Linked DNA regions of Tamandua tetradactyla. The protein of the gene in region 1 purifies or fractionates together with the protein of each later gene. This does not show direct contact. Links are inferred from orthologs where the notes say so. Each region holds a gene or a part of one and is shown on either strand. Other genes may lie near its edges.

What was found.
Region 2: the proteins of FBXW7 (region 1) and MYCBP2 purify together in Homo sapiens (affinity purification with mass spectrometry; 6 studies listed by BioGRID and IntAct, counting the BioPlex papers as one, with this or other methods). This does not show direct contact. The link is inferred for Tamandua tetradactyla from reciprocal best matches to the Homo sapiens genes FBXW7 and MYCBP2.
Region 3: the proteins of FBXW7 (region 1) and MED13L purify together in Homo sapiens (affinity purification with mass spectrometry; 4 studies listed by BioGRID, with this or other methods). This does not show direct contact. The link is inferred for Tamandua tetradactyla from reciprocal best matches to the Homo sapiens genes FBXW7 and MED13L.
Region 4: the proteins of FBXW7 (region 1) and ENO1 purify together in Homo sapiens (affinity purification with western blotting; 3 studies listed by BioGRID, with this or other methods). This does not show direct contact. The link is inferred for Tamandua tetradactyla from reciprocal best matches to the Homo sapiens genes FBXW7 and ENO1.

What each region holds. Positions count from the first base shown.
Region 1 is NC_135348.1:14,755,616-14,762,631, reverse strand, and holds the start of FBXW7 (F-box/WD repeat-containing protein 7), read right to left. Parts: upstream 3,019-7,016; 5' UTR 1,816-3,018; intron 1-1,815. UniProt on the Homo sapiens protein: Substrate recognition component of a SCF (SKP1-CUL1-F-box protein) E3 ubiquitin-protein ligase complex which mediates the ubiquitination and subsequent proteasomal degradation of target proteins.
Region 2 is NC_135330.1:145,172,282-145,179,506, forward strand, and holds the start of MYCBP2 (E3 ubiquitin-protein ligase MYCBP2), read right to left. Parts: upstream 3,007-7,225; 5' UTR 2,710-3,006; coding exon 2,408-2,709; intron 1-2,407. UniProt on the Homo sapiens protein: Atypical E3 ubiquitin-protein ligase which specifically mediates ubiquitination of threonine and serine residues on target proteins, instead of ubiquitinating lysine residues.
Region 3 is NC_135331.1:16,692,200-16,700,220, forward strand, and holds the start of MED13L (mediator of RNA polymerase II transcription subunit 13-like), read right to left. Parts: upstream 3,006-8,021; 5' UTR 2,938-3,005; coding exon 2,866-2,937; intron 1-2,865. UniProt on the Homo sapiens protein: Component of the Mediator complex, a coactivator involved in the regulated transcription of nearly all RNA polymerase II-dependent genes.
Region 4 is NC_135328.1:216,492,169-216,499,182, reverse strand, and holds the start of ENO1 (alpha-enolase), read right to left. Parts: upstream 3,004-7,014; 5' UTR 2,870-3,003; intron 2,540-2,869; exon of another isoform or gene 2,435-2,539; 5' UTR 2,381-2,434; intron 1-2,380. UniProt on the Homo sapiens protein: Glycolytic enzyme the catalyzes the conversion of 2-phosphoglycerate to phosphoenolpyruvate. In addition to glycolysis, involved in various processes such as growth control, hypoxia tolerance and allergic responses.

The DNA.
Region 1 (7,016 bases):
TTCCCAGAACGGACATTTCCAGATCTGGCTCAGATACACCAATTAGTTCTGTATAATCCAGCACCAAACGTTTCCCTAATGAAAAATGTACATATACATTCACATCAGTAACTCAAATAATCAAAGCTTCAAGCCAATCTGACAAATAAAAAGCAGTATCTAACATACAGCCTATGCAAGACTAGATCTCTCATGTTTATATCCCTGTGAAACACAGAATACATGACTTCCTAAAGGTCACGTAGTAAGAAGGACTCCAGAGATGTTTTTTCTGATTCCAAATAGAACATTACATCTATTGCTCAATATTTTCACGTTGGTACCCATTTAAATAAGATAGAAGTGCAGGTTTCCTACAAAAGATTAACAAGAACAAGGTAGCTAAAGAAAAAAAAAAACAGAAGTTCCAGAGGAGGGCACAGTGATAAAAGGGATGAAATAAATTATTTTAAGACAAAAATAGTCAGGAGACATGATGGTAAGAAGGAACATCAAAATCTATATAACCAGGAAAAGATAAACTCAGGCTTATTCTTCCTTTTCTCAAAACAAACTCTGCCTATGTCTTGGAACTTTAAGGCAACAGATTCACAATAAATAATTAAATTGTGGCACAATCCAGAAGCAAGAAACTCGCAGAACTCATTACTTTAAGAAAGAAAAGGTACAGGATCAAAACAATGTTAAGTATAAAGTAAATTTAATCAAAATTAAATCTACTCAATGGAGAACTTAGGATCGATAACCCCAGATTTACATCCATTCCCACAAACCACGTCTCAGCAGTGCCTTTAAAGACAGAGCCCACACAGGTGTTTGGATGGACCATAATTCTTGGTATACCACCTATGTTCTGTTCAATAAAATGTCTATTTAACCCTTAAGGGGTGCATAAACATACGAAATGTAAATTACTTTCCTGCACCTCTAATTTGGCTTTCTGAAAGTATCCCTGAAAGTTCTTATAAACTTCAACTTTAAAATGAAAGGAAAAATATTTCTGGAAAAGAATTAAATATGGAAACTTTCTCATAAATTAACAGAGAAGTGACGATAACTCAAATAATCAAAGCCTCAAGCTAAACTGCCCAATAAAAAGTGCAATAATTTAGACATGCTTCTCAAGAAAGGAAAAAAAATGCGTGAAGGAAAAAAATGTAACAATTTTTATAAACTGGTTAAAGCACTAAATGCTCTGGAGACCCCTAGTAAGTTGTGATTCATAAAAATCCAGAATTTCCTGGTTGACTGAAATCTGTTAGTGTCCTCCTGACAGACAGGAACTGAACCAAGGAAATTTAGAAAGTTTAAAAAAAAAAATCCTGTATTAATAGGTAGCAAAACAGAAAATTTTCAAGGAAGACTGCAAAAAATGAAAGGAATTTTACTTTCAATTCAAAAAGTAAGTAAGTAGGTGGTTACTTGGGCATCTATATATGAGAGTTCCCCAGAAACAACTACAGCGCTGTTTCACACTAGGTGTACCAGGAAAAAAGAAGATTAGAGATGTCCTTTATGTGCACATATGCTCTGGCTACCTTTTCTTTTGCCAATTGCAGGCCCAAAAGGCGTTAAGTACCCACTCTGGAGTAAGGCAAAATTCCTCTAAGAGAAACTTGTACGCTTGCATAATACACACAAAGCACTAAAACAAAATACTGGACTACCTAATACCTTCCCCCCTCGGTGAAGAATAAAGGTACTGTCTCACCTATACACTCCCAATACTCCTGGGAAACATGAGCAAAACTCCAAGAAGAAGCACCGGCATCCTCCCACTTTCTAATCCCAACTTTCTTTCCCGGGGCCACTCACACTTTAGGAGCGAAGAGTAATGACGGTGGAGCTGAGAAGGTGGGTTGGGTCCCTTCCTCCTTCCGACTGAGGCGGCGGCCGCGAAAAGCTCCGGTGCGTTACCGAGGAAGAAGCGGTGCTAGTGTCGCTAAGCCAGGTGGCCACCCGGGTCTCTTCCGTGCCGCCGGTGGAAAAGGGGTGGCGGCCCCTCTTGCCTCCTTTTTCCTCTTCCTGGGTCTCTTCAGGCTGTGGCTCCAGCCCTTCCAGGGCCACTTCACCCGGGACAGTCACGTTGGGGGGACTTGGGATTTTATTTTTATAAAAAGTTTTCTCTGGGCGGAGGCTGCGGCCGGCCCCCCGGATCCCCCCCAGCCCCGCCGCCCTCGGGCTGGGGCGGGGGAGGGGGCACTGAGAACTCCTCCCGGAGCCCTACGGAGGAGCCGGGGGGCTGGCGACTGGCCAAAGGAGAAGACCCCCGAAGGGGGTGGGGGAGGGGGAAGGTAAGGAAGGGAACCTCTGCGCGGGTCCTGCTCTCCCCGCCACCCGGGCCGCCTCTTCACATCGGGGCCCCCGCCCCCCCGATTGGGGGGTGGCTGCTGAGCTTGGAGCCCCGGCTCATATATTCCAGGGCGAGATGCTACGGCCCCGGGTGGACGGCCGAGGCGGCGGCGAGGTGGGGGACCTGGCCGGCTCCGCTCGGCGCCGCCCCCGCTCCCGGCTCCCGCATGTGTCGCTGCGACTGGGACCCCCTCCCTACACCTTGGGGGTCCCTCGCCCCGCGTCCCGGGACGAGGCAGAAAGCTCCGGACCCTCCTCAGCGTCCTCTCACCGCGGAGTAGCTGCCCAGCCCCGACCCAGGGTAGCCGCCTCCCTGCCCCCCCAGCCGCGGGCTCCGGCTCCGGCTCCGGCGTGTGCAGCCGCTGCTGCCGGCCGGGAAGGTGAGGGGGGGGGGGGGAGAGGAAGGGCGGCCGCGGCTCTCGCTGGCCCAGGTTAGGGCGGAGGTTTCGGTGGCGGCCAGTGCACGGAAGCTGAGTTTCTCGGATGCTCCCTCGCTCTCACTCTCTCGGAGGCGGTGGCTGTAGCGCCCGGAGCGCTGCTCGCTATCTCGCTCGCTCTGTGCGGGGCTCTCGCCTCACTCCACAGAGAGGGGCGGGAGGAAACCGGCGCACAGCGATGACGCAAGTCACCTAGCAACCGCTCTCCTCCCCCCTCTGCTTTGAAGCTTCCACCGCTAGCCTTTTTTTTTCCCTTCCCACCCACCCCGACCTGGGGAACTCTGGCGCACTTTGATGACGCTCAAGGGGAAGAGGAAGTCGAGGATCCGAGAGCGGGTGGGTGCGCCCGGGACCGCGGGACTCGCCGCCGCTGCCGCCTCTGCGATCGCGTCAGAATAGAAGAGAGGAAGGGGAGGAGCCGAGTTGAGCCTAAGCTACGGCCTGATCTTACCCCTGACCCTAGAGCGTGACTGCTCCTTTGGGGGCAAGGAGGAGGCCCAGCCGTGTGGCCATGCTCCGGCGCGCACCACTCGAAGGTGAGGCATTTGGCCCCAAACGGGCCCTCAACAAACCCGACCCAGCGAGAAGTTGACGCCTAATTCACCGCATCTGCTTCGAGGAGCGAGCACTCCACCCTTCCCGTGGTGTGGGGTGAGACTTACAGCCAGATAAAGTGTGGTGGAGAGCCGCAAATTTGGTGAATGAATGAATGAATGCCTACGTCCCTTGGCACCCAAAGAGCTCAGAGGAGATGATAGAAGTGCAAGCGCTTTGTAAACTGCGATGCATTATGAGGAAAGTTATAATGCACCCCCTTTCCTCCATGAAAGGAAATGTGGTGTGGCTAGAGTAGAGAGTTACTCCCTGCGTCTTTGCAGAATTGCCAGGGAGGGCAGTTGGGGAGAGGCGAGGAGGAGACGGATGGCTGGGGGGGTGGGGGGGGAGGTAAGGAGGAAAGAGCCATACTCCAGGAGAATGTTGCGTCGGGGAGGGGGCGGTGTGAGGGGGAGGAGTATTGGAAAGGAACCATCCTTCCGGAGATCGTAGAAAGATTTTTGACTGTTTTTCTAGAGGAGAATTTAGCAATGCCTCACTGTTAGAAATCATTCTTGCTTATGGAGAACTTCTTGACCTTGTCTTGGTTGTCATTCAGTGTCCATTACCCTCATCAAGTAATTTTGGCCTGCGTTTCACATGTGGCTGAAAGTCTCTTTCCTCTCTGAAATAAATGTTATTACTGTTATGCAGCTTTTCCTACAGATGTTATTCTGGAAGGTCAATTCAAGTAATAATTCATAAAGTTAAAAAGGTCATTCTCTAGGAAAAGAAGTAATATAAAAGAACCAAAATCTTCAGAAATCTGTCCTGAATCTGTCCTGGTGAATAGTGTAAGCATGCGATAAAAGCAGCAGCAATGATGAAAGGAAGCGAATTCCACAGTTCTGTCACTGGACCTCGCACCCCCTACTTCCTCTGGAAGCAGCAGTAATGGAAGTCTTTTCCATTACTATTCCTCTATGGAGGAATAGAAGCAGGAGTATTGCAAGCAGATTTGGAAACTTGGGGTTTCTGCCAGTGCTACCAGCACCATATGCAAACTGTTGACCAAGGAAACTTCTAACTTGGTAAAACCAAGGGCCTGGTTTTTGCTTTTGTTTTAAAAGCTGCAGAAAAGAGGGAGAAGTGGAGACATTCTGCAGAAATAACACCTGACACTCCTGCCCTTGAACCCAAATCCCAAGAGCCAAGTTAAATAAGAGCCTACTTAAGTTACCCTGCATTTGATTCCAAATGAGACTGGGAATCAAACCACCAAGTAATGGCCCCAAATGGCTACAAAATAAATCTTTTTTGTTTTTGCCATTCTCATCATTCTGTGGATGGATGATAGAAATTGGAGTAAAACACCCAGGTTTAAGGGGTTTTGTGATGCTGAGAACCTCAGGTTTTAAGTTCAGTGGGCTTGAAACATAAAGAGTACAATTATCAGAGCTCTGCAACCCTCAGAGGATGCCTCCAGTAGCACCCAGGGTTTTTCAGCAGCCTGATCTGTTTCCATTGTCAAATGCTCCACCTTAAAACCTTATTACTGAGAGACTGACACTCGGGAAAGCCTTGAGCCATCTACTTAGGAAATAACTGCACTAAGGTTACTGGGCAAGGTCTACCCACCTCAGGACCCAGCATGAGAAGAGAAGGAAACAGCTGGAACTGGTGAGAAGAGAGAGGAAGTCCATTCATTTCCATATCTACTTTAGTTCCTTGTATTGCTTATTAATCCAGAGGAGAGAGGATACAGTTGATTCAAAATTGCAAATACCTGAAGTTTTAGGTAACAGAGTTCTTTCCTTGGTTTTTCAATCTGTTTATCATATAGATATCATTTTACATTAAAACATAACAAAGGGACATTTCTATAGGGTTCTCCTCCAGTTGAAAGTGAGCCCTTATTGAATCAATGTTTTAATATCTCACATTAATGATTTTTACTATCAAAGATTTCATTAGCTAAATTATCTGCAAATTTTATTTTTATTTCTAGAAATTCCATCTACAGTATGTCCCAGTACATGGAGTACTGTTGGCATTTTTATTGTGAAATGTACATAAAAATGCAAAGCAATTATAATGAGTAATTATAAAGGAAATCTCCACGTATCAAATCAACTAGGTCAAGAAATGGAATATTGCAGTACCCCAAAAACCCCCTTGTGATCTTTCCTGAACAGGAAGGACTCTTTCCCTTTGCACTGGAGGTAACTATTATTCTAACTTCTGTGATAATCATTTCCTTGCCTTTCTTCAAGCATGTTTTATCACAAGCATGCATCCCTAAACAATATATTGTTTAGTTTTGCCCTTTCTTTTGAATGTTATGTAGATGAAACAACATAATGCGTAATCCATTGTGCTTGCTGCTGTTTCTCAACATGGTTTCTAATCCATGTTGCTGCATCTAGCTATAATGTGTTCATTTTAATTGCTTCATATTACAGTGTTCCATTGTAACAATGCACCGTAATTTATAGTAGCTATTCTATTGTTGATAGACATCTGGGTTGTTTCCAGTTTGGGCTGCAATAAACAATGCTGCTGTGAACATTCTTCATATAGATATTACATCACGTTGACATCAGTTTCTCTCTGGTATATACCTGGCGGTTGTTATGAGTCTCATTAATTTGAATAGATAACGCCAATCTCTTTTCGAAAGTTTTACACTCCCACAAGCCACATGAGTCCCATTGCTCCACACCAACAACAACAGCACTCATTACTGTCCCTTTTCAGTTCTGTCAGTCTGAGCTGTGTGTAGTAGAATCCCATCGTGATGTTAACTTGCATTTCCCTAATTACTGATGCTATTGAGGTCTTTTCATGTATTTATTAGCCCTTCTTATTTCCGCTTTTGTGAGGTATGTTGTCTTTTTAATGTCTCATCTACTGAGATGCCTGATTTTCCCATTTGAACAATGGTCCACAATTTGAACAAGCTACTTAGGTAAGGTAATACCACCAAATAATTAGTTGTGTTTATGGCCCACTCAGTAAGTATAGTTCAACTAATTGTATTTTATTAATTTGATCACAGACTGATTAAGGACATAACTATAGTACTATTTTCTTTTCTTATTCTTTACCTTCCAAAATAATGCCACACTTTCAACTGTCAAGTATTGTTGCCACTACAAACTGGAATCCTTCATGCTTATTTTTGTTTTAGCTGTGCTTTATTTTCCCTCAAGTATATAAAGATAAATCTTCTCTTGAGTCCATGTAATTAAACTCGGTTGTCTTTGTTGCTTTGTATTTCTCATACAGACTGCTATGTAATAAATTGATACCCCAGCACAAATTTTTTCATTTCCCAGATTCATTGATTTTACAATTTATGGTGGATTTTTTAGTTTGCTCCTAAAGTTCCTACTGAAATATATGGGAGTTTTAAAAATTTCATTTCAAATACTATCCATGTCAGTGCCTGACATTACATTTGATTGTTTTCTTATCTGTCAGTTCCTTTTTAGAATCAGTGATATTTAAAACAGGAGGCCAGAGAACTTAAGTAATTCAGCCAGGGTCATGCAAGCAAGTAAATAAGAAGTCTAAACTCTGCCTCAAGTCTTCCTACACAGTATGTTTGCCATTGTCACACTGACTCTCAATTTTCTGAATCAATAAGGTCAACCAATTCCCAAGATTCCTTGTATATTGTTCACTTCTGGC
Region 2 (7,225 bases), on another chromosome or scaffold:
CTAGCCACGTGATTTCCCATGTGACAGACAGTGGCCTTTCTTGAGTCAAGGTAATTTTGGACATTTTTATGACCTCAGACCAGTAAACTTGTAACTTAATAAATTCCCTTTTTAAAAGCCATTCCATTTCTGGTATATTGCATTCCAGCAACTTCAGCAAATCAAATTAAATTTTGGTTTGCTTCCTTATTTATCTTTTTATGGCTTCTTTCACTGTCTCTTTTCTCTCACACTTTTAAACTTAATTCTCACTAATGCTTCATACTCTATTCTTCCTCCATTCTCTGTCTTTGAATAATCTTGTCTTCTCCTATAACTTCAACTAGTACATCTACACAAATGATTATTTTACATGTATTCCTTCAGAACCTGTATCACACCTCCACTTTCTCCATCATCTTTAATAAGAAACGTGATTAAATTCTTAATCAAATGCTCAATAAGGAGTAGCTGCACACTAAGACCTAGAAAACACAATATGAATTATAATAAGTAAAAATGTTCCAAAACAGCAGGAAAAGCAATAATAGGCTATTTAAATCTGGGTTCTATGAGAATTTCTTGAAACACTTTAATTCTTCATTACTTTCAATTCTCAGCTTGTACAAAAATGTACCAAAGACTCAAAGGTCATTCACAAATCTTATGTACATGATTAACCTACATTAATCCTCTCTAAAATACAGTTATACATCACAGAAATATTATTACATAAGTATAGTAATAGAAAGTCCGAACAGAGAATATAACTCACAAATTATTGAATAAGTCTGGGAACAACATACAAAATGATTTCAAAGTCTTTAAGAGGGGTTTGTGAAGATGTACCTATGTACCATAACCATAATTTATAGACTCATGGATCAATTATAAGAATTACCAATAATTACACCTCACTATCAGAGCAAACCGTCTAATGAAATTTTGTGTTACTTCAAATACATTAACAATAAAAAGACTGTTCCATTTTGGCCTTCAGGTTAGATAGCAAAAGGTAGTTACACGTATTTATATCCATATGATACAACTACTCATGTGTTCAATCTTGTAAACAATTACAGAAATGAGAAGACTGGTATACCTAGAAAAAGTATGAACAAAGCTCCATTTTTACAACTCTCTCCAATGAATAAGCCACAATATGTACTGAAAAAACAAATACCTGGCCTTACAGCCTAGCTTCTTATCAATGGGAAAAAAATTCATCTGGTTATCACCCCACATTCGAGAAATATATTAAATTCTTTAAATGATTTGAAAAATCATACATTTCTTTACTTATGTATTGCAAGAAGTTGTGAGAAAAAAAAAGACAAACCAACTCCCAATTACTAATGTCAAACCCAAGCTGGTGAAACAATCAGTTACCAGCCTTCAGGATATGTGCCATAGAAGTACATGGAAAAGAAAACAACAGAATTCTTAGCAAAAAGGAATTCACATTTTAAGAAAAAAAAAATGAAAGTGACATTTCCCACAGCAAGGAAGATGAAGATGCAGTGCATCTAACTGGAAGAGATCTAGGGGCTGATCAGATTTTCTAATTGGCAGCAGGTGAACACTACACTAGCTGTCATATTCTGAAGTTCTTCCATTCAGCTTTCCCTTTTCCTCTACAAAACCCCCGCTACTCCAAAGCCTAGAAGTGACAGAGGAAATAGAAGATGAAGGGAAATGGCCGATAGGGCCACACAAGAGCAGCTGCAACCACATCGCTAGAAAACCAAAAAACCCAGTTATCAAAATGTAGCTTTAAAATTTTCTATCAGACACCTTTCACTCTACATAACTATCTGCATGCCTTATTTCTAAGACTAACTGAAACGCCATGTCTAAATGACTGTTTGATTCTCTGAAACTCATCGTATAAATATGAGACTATCCTTTACCTATACCACTGCTCCCTTAGATAAAGGCAGCTTTTCTTTAAGGGAATTAGAAGGGAGAATGAAATGTCATGGAGTGGGAATAGGGGGCAGGGGAGGGTGATCAGTGAAAAAGACATGCAAATACCACTCCGGCAGACACTGAAAATGTCATTTCCCTCATTACTCTTACAAATTCTTTTCGTGTATTACCCTTTGACTCTATACCCATCCCTCCCACTTCTTCAACTACCATATGCACATGCACACACACGTGTCATAACCGACCTACACCATCACCTTTTCCAACATCCCATACTACATTCCCACCCTCACTAACCTTCCACATAGGCAGACAGACACACACATACACACAGTAAAAACTGCAGACACCGCACCCTCCAATGTCAATAAGTACCTCTACCAGGCTTATGCGCGTAATGAAAGACTGCTCAGTAAATATGTAAGTAGACGCAGACACACACACACACACAGGCACACACGCTGCATGTGAGGCAAGGAAGGGCACTCTGGAGACGCACCTGGAGGCCGGGTGTCCAGCGCCGCTGACCCCCTGGTCTCTGTCACTGAGCGCAGCTGTGTATATCCTCCGGTAGCGGTCGGCCAGGGCCCGGCCTGACAGCAGCAGCTGGTAATGACCCCGGGAGTCCGCGGTGGGCAGCCCCAGCCCCAGCCCCGCGGCAGTCACGGAACCCTCGGGAACCGGCATGAACAGCGCCCCCGGCGCCGGGGAGGAAGAGATGGTGGCGGCTGGGAAGAAGCCGTCCCCGCCGGGCCCCGAGGAGCCGGCGGCAGGGGAGGCAGTCGCTGCGCACATCATCATCCTCGCCGCCGCCTCGTCCCCGCGGGCCGGGCTGGCAGACACGCGCGCGCACACAGCCCTTTTCCAACGACGACGGCTCTGGCGGCGGCCTCTCACTCCCGCAGCAGGGAAACTACAAAGACAGCAGCCTTCTCCTCCTTCTCCTTCTTCGCCTCCTCCCCCCCGCGCCGCCCTCGCCACTACTGGGGCCGCTCATCTAACCCCGCCACACCGAGAGTGTAAGGAGGAGGCGGTGCCGCCACTGCCGCCACCACCACCGCTACCACCGCCGGGGCAATCCGCAATGGGAAACTGCTAGCTGCACTGAGCATGCGCCACTCCTTGCACATGCTCAATAGCTCGAGCCCCTTTCTCTCCCCACCCCCTCTCTGCCACCTCTCCCTCCTCCTCCGGGGTTTGGGTGTGGGAGCTTCGTTTGTGCTCAGTCTGAAGAAAATCCACTTCGGGTTTTGCTTGCCGCATGAGGGAAAGTAATGAAAATACTGGAGAGACGATTAGCTAGCGGTGTTCGACTTCAGGTAATGGGGTTCCCTCCAGGAGGGAGAACTAGCACCCGAAAGAAAGAGGGAAGATGCCGGTCGCCAGAAGATGAGGGTTACGCATTCCTGCTACTTCTTCTCCAAAGTCTGTGCTGCCAACATGAAGATTTACTGTGAATAGTGCTAGTTAAATCAGAATTCAAGGTAGAGAAGGCCACTCGAATTAGGAGTCCCTTTGGCGATCTTATTTTGGATTTATTGTCATTAGAATTTAAGTCTGCTTCAAATTGCCTTGACTTACAAAGACAGGTAGTAATCTAATGCACTTTTTTTCTGTGAAAGTAGAATTCACATATGCTGGTATTCAAAGGCTACATTCATTTCTAAATTGTTATCAACATTTACATCAGAGCTAAATCACAACAGCAGCAATTTTCTTAAATGTTCTTTTGACTCTCCACTCGTTAAAGGATCCATCCTTATCTCTTGACAGCTGTCACTTATCGGCTTATCTTTTTCTGTCCAAGCTGCCAATAATTGTAAGCCTGTATAACACCTGAAAATGTCAAATCTACCAAAGATCTTATCATTGCCATCTAAAAAGTGTAACATCCTGAGTCCACTGTTTCAAGCTATTCTACTAATCCCTTCATAAGTGTCCTAGAAATATATATTCAAATGTCCCATGATTTATAGTTCTATCCCTTGACTCTCAATTTGAAGAGTTTGCCTAATGTATACTCCTAACATATTTCCTTGTCCATTCATCCCAATACTATACCCTTCTAGTTACTAGTTCTGTGCCTCTTTTTTGAATGTCTTTCACACATGAAAAATAGTAATAATGTCCAGTTGAGTGTTTTGAGAAGTGCAAACAAGAAATGAGGAAGTAAATTAATTCTAGATTTTGTTGAGGATGAGGTGCTGAAAGGCTGAAACTGCATTTTTATCTTGGGCTTTGAATGATAGATGAATATACTTTTAACAAAAAGATACCTAGAAATATGATGAAAGCATAGAGACAGGCACAAACGTGGGGAATCACAGTATTTTATTTCAGTACTGTAAGTAGCCCTGTTTAAAAAGCTTTGTACCTGTCTTGTTTCCTCAACTGTTTTACTAATTTCCTCAGAACTTCTGGTTTATCTTTATGTCTTCCTCAGTCTCTAGTAGAGAACCTTACACATAGTAGGTATTCAATACATATTTGTTAGGCTAAATCTGATGCTTCAGCGCAAAGGTCAGTGTTGAAAAGGAAGTGCCCCTAACCCTGGGGTGAGAACATCAACACTGGTGTAGAGGCAGCTCAATTTTAATTGTGAAGTTATAGGCCTAACAAGTATGAACTGCAAGGATACATTACTGTTGTTGCTAGGATACATTACTGTTGCAAGATCAACAGAGTAGCAAAAAAGGCTCTGAAATCAGATAGACATGGATTTGGATCCTGCCTCTGCCACATAATACTTGTATGACTTCAGGAATATTTCCTCGTCTGTATCATACCTACTGCATAAAATTGTGGGAGATTTAAAGCATCTCTGACTTTCCAACTTGGCACATGGCTTTCCACAAATGGTAAAACGAAGAACAAAACAAAAACCACACTAAATCTATCTGTAAGATGGGAGTGGTGCCAACGCCTGTTCCCCACTGCATTCCCAGGACCTGGCACGGGGTGTAGCCTTAAATAGGAGAGATAGATATTGGTGGAATGAATGAATGAACGAACGAATGCTGCTTACACAGAGAAACAATTCCATCTAGGGCTTAGGTGGTGGCAAATGTAGTCATAGTCCGTTTAGAGTTTCTAGAGGGCTAACTGCTGCTGCACTGTATCGGGGTTCCTTTCACCCCTTCCTTAATTTCACCTCAGTCTTTAAAGTACCCCTCGATTCCAGAGAGGCCCCACCTTGAGACTTCTGGACACACTCAAAACCCGGTACTGGATAATTTCCTAAGAAACCCGATATCATTGAGCGGTACCACTAGGCGTGCGCAGAGTCGCACACATGCTCACTTTGGTATCAGAGGGTGGCGTTTTTTTTTTGCGGTTGCCAGCGGTTTCCTTCCACGGCAGCGGCAAAGGTCGCAGTCGCTCTACTCAAATTGATAGCTAATGCAGCGTTTTCCTCCTCCTCCTGCTCCTCTTCCTGCTTCCGCACTCTGCGAACGCCCCTCGCTACAACTGCTACAGCTACTGCGCTGGCACCTGGACATCTTGGGAGGCTTCTATGGGATAGCCCGCGATGAGACCACCCCAGGGATGAAAGGGCGTTTAGAGTCGTACTTAATTCCACTGCCAAGGGGTTCGAAGGGGAGGGTAGTCCCTAAGGCAAGTCGCGGGAGGTTCACTTCACCAGGACCGTCGAGTTGTGGGTTTCTCGCCTTCTACAAAGCAATCATCTCCTGCCACTCCTGCGCGCAGCGCTACTGAATGCCTTACGCTGCCCAGGTGTTTGGAGCGGGGTGGGGGGAGCTCTTGTTATTCAGACAACTATGGGTAATGAAAGAACAGGGAAGTCTCTGATTTTTCTTTGCTTTTATTTTGCCCATCCCACTGAGCTTGCTTCTGTACTTTCCTCGCTGCCATCTTAGATTTATCTTCTGGCTTGGCTGGGCGTGCTCGTGCATCGAGTTAGGAGGGAGTGCTAGGGTGGAGTGGCAGGGAGGGGGAACCCTAGGTGGGGTGTCAGAATAGGCTAGACATGCGTGCACGCCCCATTCGCCCTAAAAGAATAGCATTAAACTAAGGCATATCCTGCCTTTTACTGATTTTACTAGTGAAACGCATATATAGTATTTTTCAGGATTTGTGGTTGATACCATGCTGATTTCTCAAAAGAATCTCATCTGTGATCATACAAAAAGATTATGGCTGCTTCTTTCACCTTTATGATCACAGATTTTGTTGTTCTTGTCCACTGGACATTACGTACCTGGGACTACAATTTTCTGAACTCTTACATTTTTCTACTCTATATTTAAGAATATGCATATATACATTTTTTTAAAGAAGCCACCAGAGCTGATGCAGTGAAAAAACCAACAACAAAAAATGTACCATGGCAGGACCCATGATGTGTCTGTAAAATGACAGATTGATGTTGTTAATTAACATCAATTTAATTTAATTAACATTTAAAAGGCTAATATTGCACTAATGCTACAAGGTTACAAACACAGGAAGCATGCATGCTATCAAGAAAATCAAAGCTGCTGAAAATGCTGTCATCGAGTTGAGTCTGAGTTTGTTTCCTGGATTTGTACAATAGTGTATTGGATCATTTAAAAAAACAAAATGGTAGCTGAGAGTATTTTGAAACAAGTTTAATAACTGAGAGCAATTTGAAACAATTTACATGCTCAGGCTTGAAGAGTGAGGAAGTTCTTCACTCTTCAGTGACTAATGCTTTTGAAGTGCCACAATATTCATCGTTCTTAACTAATATAATTAAATATCATTTAATTGCCTTTTAAAATGAAATATCATATTTAATAACAGATTGAAGGCAAAATTTCAGTGGGCACTTGAAATTCTTTTGTACATAAATTACACTGAATACCCTAGATAGGTTGACTTTTGGCTTTATACAATTGTATTTTTAGGACTTTATAATATTTAGGTATGGAGAGTTAATGCTTTTTTCTATTTTATCTATATTAGTTTAAAATATACAAAATATATGTCCAAGTTTTCCTACTAATTAAAATTTAAGTTCTAGGAGAGGAATTTATATATGAACATTTTCATCCCTGAAAACAATTATTCTAAAATGTTTATTAGAGAGTGTATGCTTTGGAATGTGTGAATTCAGTAATGTATCTTTGTATGCAAATCACAACACTTTAAAAAAATCTTGTTGTGATGCATGTAACAACTGATATAGAAAGTCATATAAATTGCTCTGTTAAAGAGAGAAATTTAAACAAACACATCATTTTAACTTTGAAAACCTCAGTGTAGTTAACAAAGTAATAAGTTGTTCTTTATTACTGATATTAAATAGTTTGTCTCATTATTTCAAATTCTAAAC
Region 3 (8,021 bases), on another chromosome or scaffold:
AGGTGGGGAGAGAATTTAGGAAATTTGATGGCAGATGGTAGAAATGTAAAAATCGGAAAACAAAATCAGTAAAGCACTGGCAGAAATCTTAAGGCACCTAATTGCGCAATCAACTTTTGCTAAGCCACAATGAACCCCTCAAGGTAACTGAAAGTGGGTGGGTCATTACTGTGATACAGAACTTTAATCTCTAGTTTATATTTCAATCTATACCAATGAGTATCTAGGTAAATTCACTATAAACAACTCTGCTCAAAGAAACAGCAGACCAAAAGAAAAAATATGCTAGTATCAAGCATATAAAGAGTTCTTATAAGTCATGCTTTATTTTGAACAGGAAATGAAATCCCCTCTGGAATTATCAACTATCATATATAATGTATTAGGGAACTTATTTTTTAATACTTTATGTTGTTGCTGCATGTGATTTTCAATGAAAATTCTTAATTTGGAATCAGAAAAATGTACAATAATAAAGTTTTTTTTAACTGATAATTTTTAAAAATTAGCACCCTTTATGTACAGGGAAGGCAACAAATAGACTCTCTAATGTCTTAAACAAATCAACATACCCATTTCTGTGGTTACGATTTTAAAGTTACTACCTGAAAAGTCATTCTTTAAAAATATACATATATATTAAAAAATCAGTTCCTTGTTTAAAAAGATTTAGGGTAGAAATACCCAAAGCACAACCTTTGGTTAGACATTACAAAGTACAGAATCCTCTCCTATAAAACTATTTGTTTCTCCAAAAGAATCTCAATCTTTTCTCTACATGACTCTCATTTAAAAGATAAAAGAAGATAAAAGAAATGACACATCCTAGAGACTGCCTATACATATCATATATTGTCAGTTGTCTAAGGAATCTACCATATAAAAATTAGCTACATATACACAAGCCATTAGTCCTCAGCATGATCTATGGTAATTTGGGGGATCTTTCTTCACTAATATTGGCCTATTTGGTTATTTTAATTACCTGTGAAAGTGTCAGTGTGGTCATCCGCTGCCAAACAACACTTTAAATATCCCTTAATCAATATCTGCTAATCTATGAAACTCCCTGGACCTGGCTGATGGTAAATGGTAGACAGAGGGGGGAAAAAAAAGAGGAGGAATATAGAGTTTTATTCCCATATGGTAAAAAAATCTTCTGAGTAAAAAAATCTACTGAGAGTAAGAATCCCTGCATATAACTGAATTTTACGATTAAATATCTGAATAAAAATGCTTGAAGAAAAAGAAAGAAACCTGATCCTACTATAATGGAAGCACAGACACTATGTCACTCAGTCTTTGTAGGTTAAAAAAATCGCATGTGTTGTTTTCTTTGAGCTGCATAAATACTGTAACATATTTAATAAAATAGCACTTCCATTTGAAAAGTTGGCATGAATTTGCATTTCTTCACTGGTCTCAAAGAAAAAAAAATCTATGCCACCCATAATTAAATATAACTAATTACACTTTGAACACTAAATTATTTATCCAGTATTAACAAGGATTAAGAGGAAATGATGCTTCTATTTACCACAGAGGTTACAAAAAAATAATTTCCAAAATGAATGCTCTCCAAAAAGCAGTCACCTCAAAACAGGGTACACAACTTAATATAAGTTGGTTTTTGTTAAGGCTAAATTAAATAAATCCTTTAGCCAATTTTCTAATTATATTCTACCCCTGAAACATAATTACCTTACATCTGTTTACAAATCTTTGCTCAATATTTAAACAAATTCGTATTCTCACGGGCACATAGCTATACATACAGTAACTCATGCACAAAGCACATATTTAAAGACCACGCACTGCAAATTATTAGCTTAAACGCCAGGTTTAACAATGTGAATGTTTCCAGAGGTAGGTAATACGACCCAATAAAAAGCAAAGATGGCATTTACCACCAACTGTCACTGCCAACACCAGGAAAGAGTTGGGGGAGTCCTACACGTTTTTAATTTCGACGAATCTAGACGCTGTCATCGGGTGCCAGGTTTCTACGAGAACAATTGACACCCCAACTGCTTCAAGATTAAGGCGATTCAAATCCGAAGGAAAAGTTGTCAATTATCAGAGAGAGAGCGAGCGAGAGAGGCCAAGGCAGATAAAAGCGATGTTATCACACCGCTCAGCTTGTTGCTTTTGTGTATGTGTGTGGATTCGTTGTTAGGACAGAGAAAACAGTTTTTAAAAGACACGGGAAGAAAAAAAAGAAAAAGCCTTCTCCACCTTCTACCGGCTCGGTGCCTTGGCTCCAGTGTAGTAAGCCCCGAGAGGCAGGCGGCTGTCGATGTTTACAATCTCAGGAGCTTCGGTGGCAAGAGTCCTTTACTGACACAATCGCATTCAATCAACTGCTTTCGGGCGAAATTGCAGGTGTCATTACGGAATTAAAAAAAAAAAAATTCAAAAGGCAGGCGAGCGGGCAGCCGATCCGACTGGGGCGAAAAGGCTGCTTATCTTCGGCGCGGGCAGCAACAAGGCAAAGCCTTCCACACTTAGGGAAAAGGGGGGAAAGGGGAGGGGAAGGGGGGGTGTGACTGCAACAGAGGGTGGGCGTTCGAAGTGCGACCCAGAATCCGCAGCTCTGAGACTTCCACATGCAAATTCCACGCCGAGCGCCGTGCTCACAAATGATTTTTAAAGAGCCAAATAAACACTGGATGGGATCCAAGGCGAGGAGAGACGATCCAAAAGGGGGAGAATCGACGAGAGGCGAACGGCGGGGAGAAATGCGGGAGGGGCGAAGTCGCGGCGGCGGGAGGAGAAAGTTGGTCGGTGGCGGAGGTCGGCGACTGAGGTCGGGGGACCCCCACCCCCACCCCGGCACGACCCCCTCCTCGCAGCTAGGCTACTCACCAGCGAGAAGAGGTTGGAGTGACAATCCTCCAGGCTCGCCCCGTTCGCCACCCAGTTCGCTGCCGCAGTCATGATCCTCCGCGAGCCCGGCCGCCAGAGCGGGGCATGTCGGAGCGAGGCGTCCGAGGCGAGGCCGGGCCGGGCGGCGGCGCCTCGCCGCGGAGCGCGGGGCGGCCCGGCAGCAGCAGCAGCCGCAGCCGCAGCCGCCGCCGCCGCCGCCGCCGCCGCCGCCGCCGCCGCGCTGAGGGAGGGCGGGAGGGCCGGCTGGCGGGCGGGAGGGAGGCGCCGCAGCGACGCCGCGCCGGGGGCGGCGGGCCCGGGCTGGCGTGGGGTGGGGGGGAGGTCCGCGGCGGCCGCGCGGCTCCTTCCTGCTCCGCGGCGGCGGCGGCTTCGGCGGCGGCGGCGGGGGGCGCTGTCCGCGCTGCCCGGCGCCCTCCCCGCCTCTCAGGGCCGCCGCTGCCTCCCGGACCGGAGATGCGGGCCGGTCGCCGCCTCCGCCTTCCCTGCTCCTCAGCCGCCGCCGCCGCCTTGTTTATCTCCAGCCACCGACTCCTCCTCGGCCCCCGCCGGCGCGTGAGGGGTGGCGGGCCCCGGAGCCGCCGCCGCCGCCTCGGAGCCGCCGCCGCGGAGCGCGAACTCGCGAAGGGGGGGGTGCGGACGAAGCCAGCGGGCGACCCCGGCAGCCGAGCGACGTCCCCTCCTTCCTCTTCCTCCCCCACCCCCCCCTCCTCCCCAGTCAGCCTCGCTTCTCCTCCCTCCCCCGGCTCGCTAGCTCTGACAGCAATGGCGGCCGCCGACCGCGGCTCGGCCCGCCATTGGCTAGCGCTGCGGCACGTGACGGGCGCCGGCCGCGCGGGGGGGCGTGCGGGGGCGGGGCCCAGAGCGGCGGCGGCGGCAGCTCGCGGGAGGCGCTGCTGAGCCGAGTGCGGCGGATTCTCAGGCCGGGAAGAGGGAGGGAGACGGAGAGCCAGAGAGGGACAGAAAAGAAGTGCTGGCGGCCCGGCTTCCCAGCTCCCCAGCTCCCCAGCTCCCCAGCGAGGTGCACCCTGCCGACTTGAGGTTGCCGTGGGCTGCCCCGCGTAGGCGCCGGGCCCCGCCCCTTCGGGGTGCTGAGATCTTTGCGGAGTGCCCCGGGGTGCTGCGGGGCGCGACCACGGACCCCGGAACGCCCGCTGCGGCCGCAGTGGAGAGCACGGGGTCCCCTCCCTTGTGACCCGGCCTCCCAAACCGGCTGGCGTGGCGGAAGCTAGCTGTGAGCCACGCCGCGAGTCCGAGTGTTCTGGCGAGCGTCTCAGGGAAAAACCTGACTCCGGAAGGTGGGTCTGCATTTTATAGATGAGAAAATTGAAGCACAAAGAAATTAAGTCACTTGCCCGAGGTCGCACTACAGGGAAAAGGAAGAGCCGACATCGGAATCCAGGCACCTCGCCCGGGATATTCACAGCTGCCGTTTACTGAGCGCTTACTGTATACCAGGTACTAGGCGTTTAATACATAAATGCTTCTTGAGACCTCACTGCTAGGCACTGTGTGCATCCATTCATTCTTATTCATTGCACAAAAGTTTCCTGAGCGCTTGCCATCTGCCACAATATGTTATAACTGATTTCCCCACTTATGTGCCAGGCACTGTGCTCAGGCTATGTTGGGAGCAGACCTACCCTCCTGACTCCATTCAATAAACGTTTCCTGAGACTGTATAGCTTTGGAATTCGGTTGGCGCCAGTATGAATAGTCTCTGTCCCAGTCTTCAAAGTGTGCACTCCCTGCAAAGGTGGGGAGGAAAAAACTTCACTAATATGTCCTCAAACGTGGAAGAGCTAGCTCTTTCAAGGAGACTAGACTAAAAGAGAGGAGAGAGTTGGAAAGGGGATTAGTTAAGAGGTGAACTGAGACTTGGAACTCTCCCAAACACTGCTAAAGTAAAACCCATGAGCAGCATGTTATACTACCTGTTATTATCACAACTGACACTATGTTACAATTCCGCGGACACTGTGTTATGAAGGATGTGCGTACATTATTTCACATGATCCTCATAACAACCACATAGAGCAGACACTTGTTATTATCCTTGGACTGTAATAAAGTGAGGATCAGAGGTATGCAGTGACATCTCCAAGGTATCTCAGTTAGTGAATGGCAGAGCTGGTTTCAAACCCAAATCTGTTAGGCTCCAGAGCTAGGGCATGAATCCAGGAGGCTCTGTGGGCAGATGCTAGACCAGAAGCCAGGTGACTGCTGGCCTGGAGCTGGCTTTGCCTCCCTGATGATGTTGCTTTAACCAAAAGAATTTAACTCTCATTTCTAATCTGTCAGAGATGGATCCTAATTACTGATCCACCAACCTCAGGGCAATGTCGTGAATGTATATTAAGATTACTGGTTTTGAAAGTTTAGAAAAAATGCCAAAGCAGTTTGTCAACATGCTTGGTGTTACTTAGGCCTAAACAATAAGATGGTACGACAGTCTACCCTTATTCACATTCCATGTACTTACACCCCAGATGGGCTTCATCCTACACACCTACCTGGTTACCAAGCGCTCATTCTTCAGCAATTTAAAAAAAAAAATCTCACAGAGCAAAATCCAGTATTGCAGAATAGGAAATACATACGACTTTTAAATGTATAAAAAGATGCTCGACCTCATTCATCATAAGAAAAACAAATTAAAACCAGAATAAGTATTGGCCATATTTTTAAAATTTAGATACATGTTGAGGGAAGCAAGGCTCTCCTACATTTTACTGGAAATATAAATTGGCACCACAGCTTTGGATGTTGATTTGATGAATATCAGATTTTAAAATGTACATCCCTTTGACCCAGCAATTCTACTTCTAGGAGTTTATCCAACAGATAGACTTGTACAGAAGCACAAAGACCTGCAGTGCAAGGGCATGGCATTGTTTGTATGGTGAAATCTAGAAACAATGTATGTGTTCATCACTTGGGAAGTGGTTAATAATATAATCTCAAGCAACCACTAAAAATACCCAGTTAGCACTATGTGTACTAATATAAAATAATTTCAGAATATATTCTTAATAGCGGTAACTCTGGCAGGTTACACAAGACACTATTATCGGTTGCCTCTATGGAGGGGGGACTGGGGACCTGGAAGTCGGTGGGAAGAATTACTATGCTTTTTGCATTTCCTTTTCTTTTTCTTTTTTTAAACCAAATGCATATATTACCTATTCAAGGCAGTATGTTATAAACAACAACAAATAAAAACCTCATCCAAGGAGATTTCTTTGGCTGTCGAAGCCAAGGCACCAAAATGGGAGAAAAAAGGCCAGAAGTGTGGAGTGTGGTTGCCCTGGCAACATGAGTACAGAAAGAGAACCCAGGGGAATCCGATTCTAGTCCCAGGTGCACCCCTGAGCAGCCTGGTGACCTTGGACAAGCTACTTAATCTCTCTGGGCCTCAGTTTCCTTCTGGGTGAAAAAGGGTGGCCTGGGTGAGCCTTAAGGTCATTTCTAACAATGAATTTTTTTGATTCTCTGCACAGTTGAGATCACTGATTAAGATCTGCAGAGTTCTTTCTCAATAGAGAAAGCAATGGGAGTTGACGGAAGGCCTCAGGAGATAAAATTAAAACAAAAACAAAATCCTCAATTATCTAATAGGAAGTATTAAAGAAAGGAACTAAGCACCAGGGCTTCTAAGTGCAGTTCCCTATGTCAGAGACACCTCTTAAGCATCCTCGGGACTTAGTTTCTCCATTTGTGAGAGTGCCTTTCCTAGGCAGGAAACAGAAATTCTACTCAGCACAGGTCTCAGGCCGCCTTCTGAGAATGACAGGTTAGTTCCTTTTCATGGTTACCAAATGTAATGGCAGAGTGAAAATGGAAGCAAAAATATGACCAAAGGAGGAACCATCTATTAGGAAGACTAACCGGAGGCCTCAGCAGCTGCAGAGAGAGCATTTTGTAAATGCTAAAGACGCACCTGGGTTCCACTCTCTGCTCTGCCCCGAGCTAGCTGTGCAGCCTTGAACAGGTCATTTAACCACTGCGACCCTATTTCTTCCCATGCATTGGCCTCCCAGGGTGAAACCGCAGGGAAAGTTCTTAGGGCAATGCCTGGCCCCAGGGGCAGTAGTCAATAAATTATAACAATCATGCTCACTTTCCATCTTTATACAAGAGAAATCATCACCCAATCCCATTCCTGAGGGATTTTCCCTTCTAACCTAAACTTTACTGGATTTGTGACCTTTCATATTACAAAAGTACAAAATGCTAGCTTTAGCAAGTCAAACAAAACACATTTCCAAAAGGAAATCCTTTTCTCTCTGCCCTACTTGAGGTAGAGAGAAAGTTGCAAATCCTTACTCTCCTTCCTCCTTGCTCCTACCGATGAATACATTTCTAAGGGAATTTTTATTACATTTCATGAAAACGGGATCATGCCACATACATTTCTCTGCAATCTGCTTTTTTTTCACTTAACATTCTATCACAAATACACCTCTAGGCCTATATAGCTCGCTCTAACTCATTCTTTTATTAGTTGTGTAATGTTTCATAAAACACCTGTGCCATAATTTATCCAATTATTTCCCTATTCCTAAGCATTCAGGTGGCTTCCATTTAAACAAGGGTGCAGTAAATATCCTTATCCATATATCCTTATGTACTGACACTTTTATTTCTGTCGAGTAAAGTCCCCAAAATCGGATTGCTTTTTTATTGTTAATAAAGGTATATTTTATTATTAATAAATACAGCCAGAAGACTTTCTCCAAAGGCTGTGGCAATTCACTCCCTCAAATAATATGGAAAGAGTATCCACTCCCTCACAACCTTGCCAGTGTTTGGATGTTGCCAATCTTTTACTTTTTGCCCACATGACGGATGAAAAGTGGTATAATTGTTGTTTACATTTGCTTTCCCTGAACTCTAGTTAGGTTGATCTTCTTTTAGGTGTCTTGACCATTTGCATTCCCTCTTTTTTTCTTTTTTTTTTTAAGGAAACAAACAATACACTTAGAACCACCAAAAATGGATATCTTAGTTTAACCATAGACATATTTAAATAAAGTGTATCTATATAATCATTGTAAAGCCTGTATTTGAGCAGTAAGTTTCATAAAGCAACTTAAAATTAAGGCAACAAGGAAAAAATCTACAAATTCAAATAGCAA
Region 4 (7,014 bases), on another chromosome or scaffold:
AATTCATTATGTTTGAAGTAGCAGCAGGCTGTTCAGTTGGGAGCAGTTAGATATTCAGTTAGAAATTCTGAGCTTGGAGCTCAGAAGTGACAGGCTTGGGGGCTCTTGAATGCCGCAGCATTCGGCCTGTAGTGGGACACACGGCCCTTTCTTCCGAAGGCCATTTTGCCCATTTAAAAAACCTAATTACTGTGCAACAGGACTAGATACAAAAACTCAAAAATGGACAGCACAATAATACCTAATTGTAATGTAATTATTTTAAAACACTGAATGAAGCTGCATCTGAGCTATAGTTTTTTTGTTTGTTTGTATGTTTGTGTCTTTTAAAATTATTATTATTATTTTTTCTCTATATTAACATTCTATATCTTTTTCTGTTGTTTTGCTAGTTCTTTTCCTAAATTGATGCAAATGTACTAAGAAATGATGATCATCCATCTATGTGATGATGTTAAGAATTACTGATTGCATATGTAGAATGGAATGATTTCTAAATGTTGTGTTAATTTCTTTTTTCTTTAATTAATAAAAAAATAATAATAAAAAAAACCTAATTATAAACTATTGGGATTTGTAAATAGAAAATTCTATCTTCTGCTACAACATTCTGAGAGAAATAACACCTAAAAGAAAAAAAAAAACAGAGATTTGCAGCAAGTGCCCAAAGAAAGCCGTTTTCTCACTTTTTTCCCCAGGGGGTCTCCAAAGAAAAAAGTAATTCAGCAAGTTATGACATTTAAGTGAATGAGAGGAAATAAATTAGCATTCAGAAACCATTATTTCCCTCGGCTACCCTCCAACATCTTCTCTGGAATGTTCTGAAGCAGCACATGGCATCCTATCTTTATTTTTTAATTTTGAGTTTCAAAATTAGACACTGAACTCACTTCTGTGGCTTTCCTTTCTATGTAATAATGGAGTTTATTCATTAGTCAATTAAAAGGCATCTAGCTTTTATCCACTGGCTTCCAAAAAGGCCCATTTGTTAAAACATATTGTTTTAAACCAACTTTCAGAAATAATTCACATACCATAAAGTGCACCCACTTCAAGTGTGTAGTTTGATGAGTTTTGACAAACTATACAGCTTTAATGGTTTGCAGTCCATTCCCAGGCAACTACTAATTTCCTTTGCTACTGTAGATTTTAATCATACTTTTAAATACATCCTTAACACAGTGGCACAGCACACAGATCTAAGGTCTAATTTTTCGTTTCATTTAGTGACATAAAACATAATCAACTCAAGTGTGTCTTTAAATTTGATAGCTAACTGTAGAATGCTCGCCTGCTGTGCCCAAGCACCCCACAAAAAAAATTGGTAGATAGCTATTTTTTAAAAGTAATGAAACTTTAGGGAGCACAGACTGGGAGAGGGTTGATCTGATTACACCGCCTCCCAGGATCGCTCTTCACGGGGCTTGGTTTGAACTTAACGGGGAGGAGGGGTCCCGAGGGGCCTGAGGCAAGGCAACCAGGCGACCACATGGCCGGGGAGAAGCCAACAGGAAGCGTTTTCAAAATACTTCCTTTTTATGTCAGCCAGTACCGGAGTGGGGGTGGCCGGCAGAGAGGTGGGAAGCAGATCCTGCCTGACTTAGGCAGAGTCTCCTGGCCGGTTCCTCAATGACTCAACGGCTCTTCGGCCCTTTGATTAAAAATAAATAAATAAATAAAAAATAAAGAAGCCCCTTCTTGGTGTTACTGACTGGGGCTACAGATGGCAGCTCTGCAGGATTTTTCTGCAAACCTATAACTTCTTAAAAAATTAAAAAAAAAAAATAATAATTATGCACCATGATCAAGTGGGATTTATCCTAGGTAGGCAGGGATTCTTAAAAATGGGGGCTTCTTTCGACAGAAGAAAATCAATTACTGTAAAAAAAAAAAGTACCCTCTTAAGCTACACGAGCTGTCTGATTTCGGAGCAGCGATGGGCTGGACAGCACGCCGCTGACCTACAGGCCGGGAGCCACCAGCGGGGGACAGAGGCTGCTGGTGGGGGAGGGGGCCGCAGCTAGCGGGTCATCTGTTTCCCAGACCCCTCCCCCGTTTTAGGCAGGGCCTGGCTTTAATTATTTAATTAAAAATCCTGGCGAAGCCTGCATTTCTCCCCTCTAACTAACCCCTTTACTTGGCTCCTGACAGAGAGGCTCCCTTTCCTCCCCAGCCCGCTGGACTAGACGGTCGCCTGTTCTCCCCCGACCCTCCAAGCAACTCATCTTCACGCGTCGGCCCGCACCTCTCGCCTGCCCGGGAACCGTCCAGCCCTCCGGTCCACGCCCGCGCCCACGGGCACGCCGCGGAGGGGACCTGGCGAAGAAACCCACGCTCCACCTGCCGAGCGCTCGCCCGCGGCCTTCCCCGGGGTCCTTACCTGGCCGCCGGGTCTCGTGAACGAGGGACGATGCCGAGGGAGAAGCCGAGAGGGCTGCAAACACCGCAGCAGGGTCAGCAGGCGAGATCTGCACGCGCCGACTGCCCGGGGTCCTCTCCCCGCCGCCGCCCCGACTTCCTGCCAGCCCGGAGCTCCGCCCACTTCCCGCCTTCCCGGGCCTGCCCCCTACGCGCCGCCTCGCCATTGGCCAAGTGCTCCGTCAATCGTGCCCTCTGCCCCCTCCTCGGGGAGAGGGGCGGGACTATGGCCTGCGCTGAGGCTGAGAAAGGGGGGAAGGGGGTCGGGAGGCCTGGGGACTTGGGCCTAGGCTGGGGACTCGGGAGACTCAAACCCCAAGAAGGGCCCCCGACCTCCGCGGCCCTCCCTTTCCGCCTCCCGCCGGGGCCCCTAAGGGGGGCGGGGGTCTGTGGCGCCGGGGCGGGGCGGGGCGGGGCGGCGGGCATGAGGGCTGAGGGCTCCGGCACGTACTCCGAGTCCCGCACGCACTCGGCGTAGCCGCGCCGCCGCACGCCCTTGCTGATGACCTTCGCGGCGCCCCCTTGCCCGGCCCGGCCCGGAGCGCGGTGCCCGAGAGCCCCCGGCGGCGTGGAGACGTTGAGCGGCCGCGACCCTGGGGTGGGGAGGGGGCCTGCGAGGAGGGGGTGGGGGAGCCGCAGCGCCGCGTGCCCGCGTCCACGTGCGCTCGTCCGCGCCTGCGCGCTGCGCTCCGGCCGGGCCCCACGCGCGCGCCGCCGCCAAGGTGACCTGGGTTTCCTTCACCTCGCGGCGTCGGGCGGGCGTGGAGGATCCCACGCACGGAGCCGAAGGACAGATTCACTTTTCATTGTAGCTCACGCTTCCGGCGTGCCGCACGCCCGCGTGCACCCCGCGCGGATTTCATTCTTCTCTCGTGTTGTTTCATTGAGGACAGAAGACTTCACACACACACCTTTACTCTTTGTAGGCCCTGATGAGATCTGCCTAGGTTCTCCTGAACTACAGCAAAGACTGACTTTAGGGATGGAATTTCACATACCCCCTGAGGGGACTGCTCGAAGCAGGTAGTAATTCCCGTTGGTCTAGCAAAAGAAAACCAAGAAGAGGTGGGCGGAATGGTTTTGATTTTCTGATCAAGAAAAAAACGGATAGTCCATTTAAAATCAACTCGCGCACACACAGACACACACGCGCCTCCCCAAAGAAGGCCTGAGATGATCGCTTTATTTTCCGATACATTTATTTTTGTATTTACTTAACGGCCCTCCCTCCTGATTTCTAAGTCTGAGATCTAAAACAGCATGGTCTTTATATTTAACACACTGCCGTGCATAAAGATATTAAATAAATAATTTACTTTATTTCTTATGATTAGCTTTTTTTTGCCCCCAAGCTGCTGGCTTAGGTTTCCAAAGCACAGGGTTAAGAAGGCCTCCTGAGTCCACGTATTTGTTTTCCAACAACTAAGCAAGAACTTTATGATTGAATTCAGGAAAAAAAAAGAAAAGAAACAGGGAAATCGTAAACTATTTCAGTAAAGATTGATATGGATTTTGCAAGCAGAGGTTATGATTTCACCAACTGTACACTGCCATTTCTGGCTGCTTAAAACCAATATCCCAGCCCCATGACTCAGCAGCTAAATCAACAGCGAACGTCTCTCAAGCCTTGTAAGAACGCCAAGGAAATCAGACCCTTAAAGCTTTTATTTTCAGAGCAATTTTAAGGTGTGGTCCTGAAAGGATGCCAAACAATCCCTTTAATTTTACATTAGAATTGTTAAAGAGATAACGATAGACATGGCTCTTAAAATAGTTCTCTGGCCAGAACCAGTGCATCTAGCAGGAAATCAAATGTAGTGCATCATGACATGAGACAGCTGCTGTTGCAAGATTCTTGGAAGCCACCCCCGTGCTCTGAGCTAGCACTTCGACCTCAAATTGTAGCTGAAACATTAATGATTAGTGGAGATGCCCTCAAATCTCTAAAAATCCACAGGCTGCCAAAATGTCCTGTCCATCTTCATGGTTCCTGATGCTCTGTTAATAGGCCATGGGGCTAATCTTTGCCTGCAGGGCAGCACAGGGGCATGGACCTGATGGGGAGGAAGTGTCCAAGGTATTATGAGCAGACCACCTGGCGAAGCCTTGCAGGTGGTGCTTGAAGGCCATCTAAAGGACACGAGGTTTAAGGGAAAGTGAATCTCCAGCAATTGACAACACACCTGGATTACTGATTTCATCTGTGTTTTGTGCAACACTGGTCTACTGAAAAAGTGATACAGCTGTTCTGAAGGTGGGTGTCCAGGCAGATGGGAAACTTTACGGTATGATGAGGGGCCTGCAGGAGGTCCTCAGCTAATGGCGGCAGATGAACCCTCATAACAGATAGAGGGTTTTTGTGTTTGTTTGCTTATCCTTAAATATTAAAAACGTATCAAAGACTGTATACGATTTATATGATAAAATACCTGAACATTTATGTACCCGCTACCTGTTTAAGAAATGGAACATCTGCAATTTCATTCAAGTCCCTTGGGTATCTGTTCCTCCTTGGCCTTAGTTTTATTTAGGGTTTAAAATAATTTTTGAACTTGATAGAAACTTGATAGAATTTTACTGTTGGAAGCCTTTTTCTACTGTTTTTTTTGTTGTTGTTGTTGTTCACCTTGATGTTGGTGAGATCCATCAGTGTAGCTGTGGACGGCTCATTTTCAGTGCTATATGGCATTCCTCTGCGTAAAGGTCACATATGCTCCTGTCAATGTACCTTTAGGTTGGTTGCAGTTATTATCCTTGCTAATATAAACAATGCTGCTATGAACTTTGTTATAGCTGAGCAAATGTGCAAGAGTTTCTAGGAAGCACACCTGGATGTGAAATTGCTGGGTGGTAGGATGTACACATCTCAGCTTTCTTATCTAAAGTGTTTATACCTCTGTATGTATGCGTTCTGATTCAGTTTGGTAAAATAAAATCAAATTCGGTTCTTCTCTTTTTCTTTTTTTTTTTTTTTTAAGGAATTAAATCTCCTTGCATTCTTAATCTGACACCCTTTCAAGTCCTTCACTTAAAAAAGAAGCCCATGTTTTCTCTCTGTAGACTGCTGTCAATACTCAACCGTAGGTGGTTTTGAAGTACATATTAGGGCTTTCTGCCATCCTCAGCCTCCTCCCGTGCCTTCTTCAAGGCTGACTTCACCAGTCAACTGTGGGAATCAGGGACTGGCCAAACCTACCCTAGAAACCCAGTGTACATTTAGGGAGACAGATGGGGAGCACAGTGCCCCAGGGAGGAGATGAAAGTAAGGAAGCCTGGCAACAGAGGTGCAGAGGGATGGGGAACACAAGAAGCAGGCATCCAGCGAGCAGAGGCTCATATGTGCATTAGCCATTACATCCCTTCACCGAGTTCATGACCGGATTCCACTCTGATCATCTCCACTTTTCAAAGCTCAGAGAGGTTGCCTGGCTTGCTAAGTCTGCAGTTGGAGGGTGGAGGTGCTGGGGGACCAGCCGAGGCAGACTTAGCCCCAACCGTTCAGCCTCCTGTTCCTCTAAGATGAAAGATGTGGGTAAGAGGCTGCAAAACTGAATGGAGTCCAAGGAGCCTTCCCTTAATTTGAACAGCTTCCCCTTGAATACAACCCAAAATAGAATTCATCTGCAGCAGCTTCAGGATTTGAGAAACATCATCATATGGCCTTCATATCTGTATTCTTTCAAGAACAAACTTGTAGCTGGAAGGATAAAGCTACTTGCACAGATCAGAGAGTTAGATACATTGTATTGTGTTCCTATGACAAAATGTCCCCAGTCCCACACTCAAGATGACATTTTCTGCCTTTCCTAAACAAAGGGGGAGAAACCCTAATTTTCCCCAACCCCTGACAGTTTCCTTGATGTGAGGTTCTTAGACCTCCTGCATTGGAATTCTCTAATCTCTTTTTTTTTCCCTTCTTCTGTTTTCTCCATCTGGTCAGGAAAATGCAAGGGGAGAATAGATTTCAGCCCAGCATGTGGCTGGAAGGAAAATGCAGACTGACCTGAAGAGCCATTGGGTAGATTCACAGCGGGTCAGAAGGGGCTCGGTGAGGGGCCATTGCCTTGTCCTGGGGAGCCGGGCGACTGCCTGCCCAGTGTTTCAGCTCAGCAAGGGCAGGCGGGGCAGCTCCACTAGTGAATGGCTGGTTCAGAATTTGGACTAATCAGGTCAGGCAGGGGCCTGCAGATCAACTGCCCCCTTTTGAGGGCCTTCTGAGCGCTGGCCAGGCCCAGAGCCCCTTCGGAAGGACTTCTTAGCCTAAGCGGGCTTTTGCCCTCTGAATGCAGCTGGCAGGGCCAAGGATCAACATCAAAGGTGGCTAAGGAGGGGCCTGGACTCCAGACCTCTGCCCGGCAGGGGCACGTCACAGTGGACTGTTGGCATCCAGCGTTCCTGTGTCATATGGGAAGGCACGTGGTGATGTCTGCTGCTCCTTCTCCCCTGGTTCTCGTTTCAATGGCTTTCCCTCTCAGCTCCTGTGGGTCCTTGCTTGTTTCAACTAGGGCATTTTCTCTCTAACCCCCTGTCTCTTGATGTTTCTGTGTTTTATCCTCTCATAAGGACCCCAGCAAGGGGATTAAGACCCACCTTGAA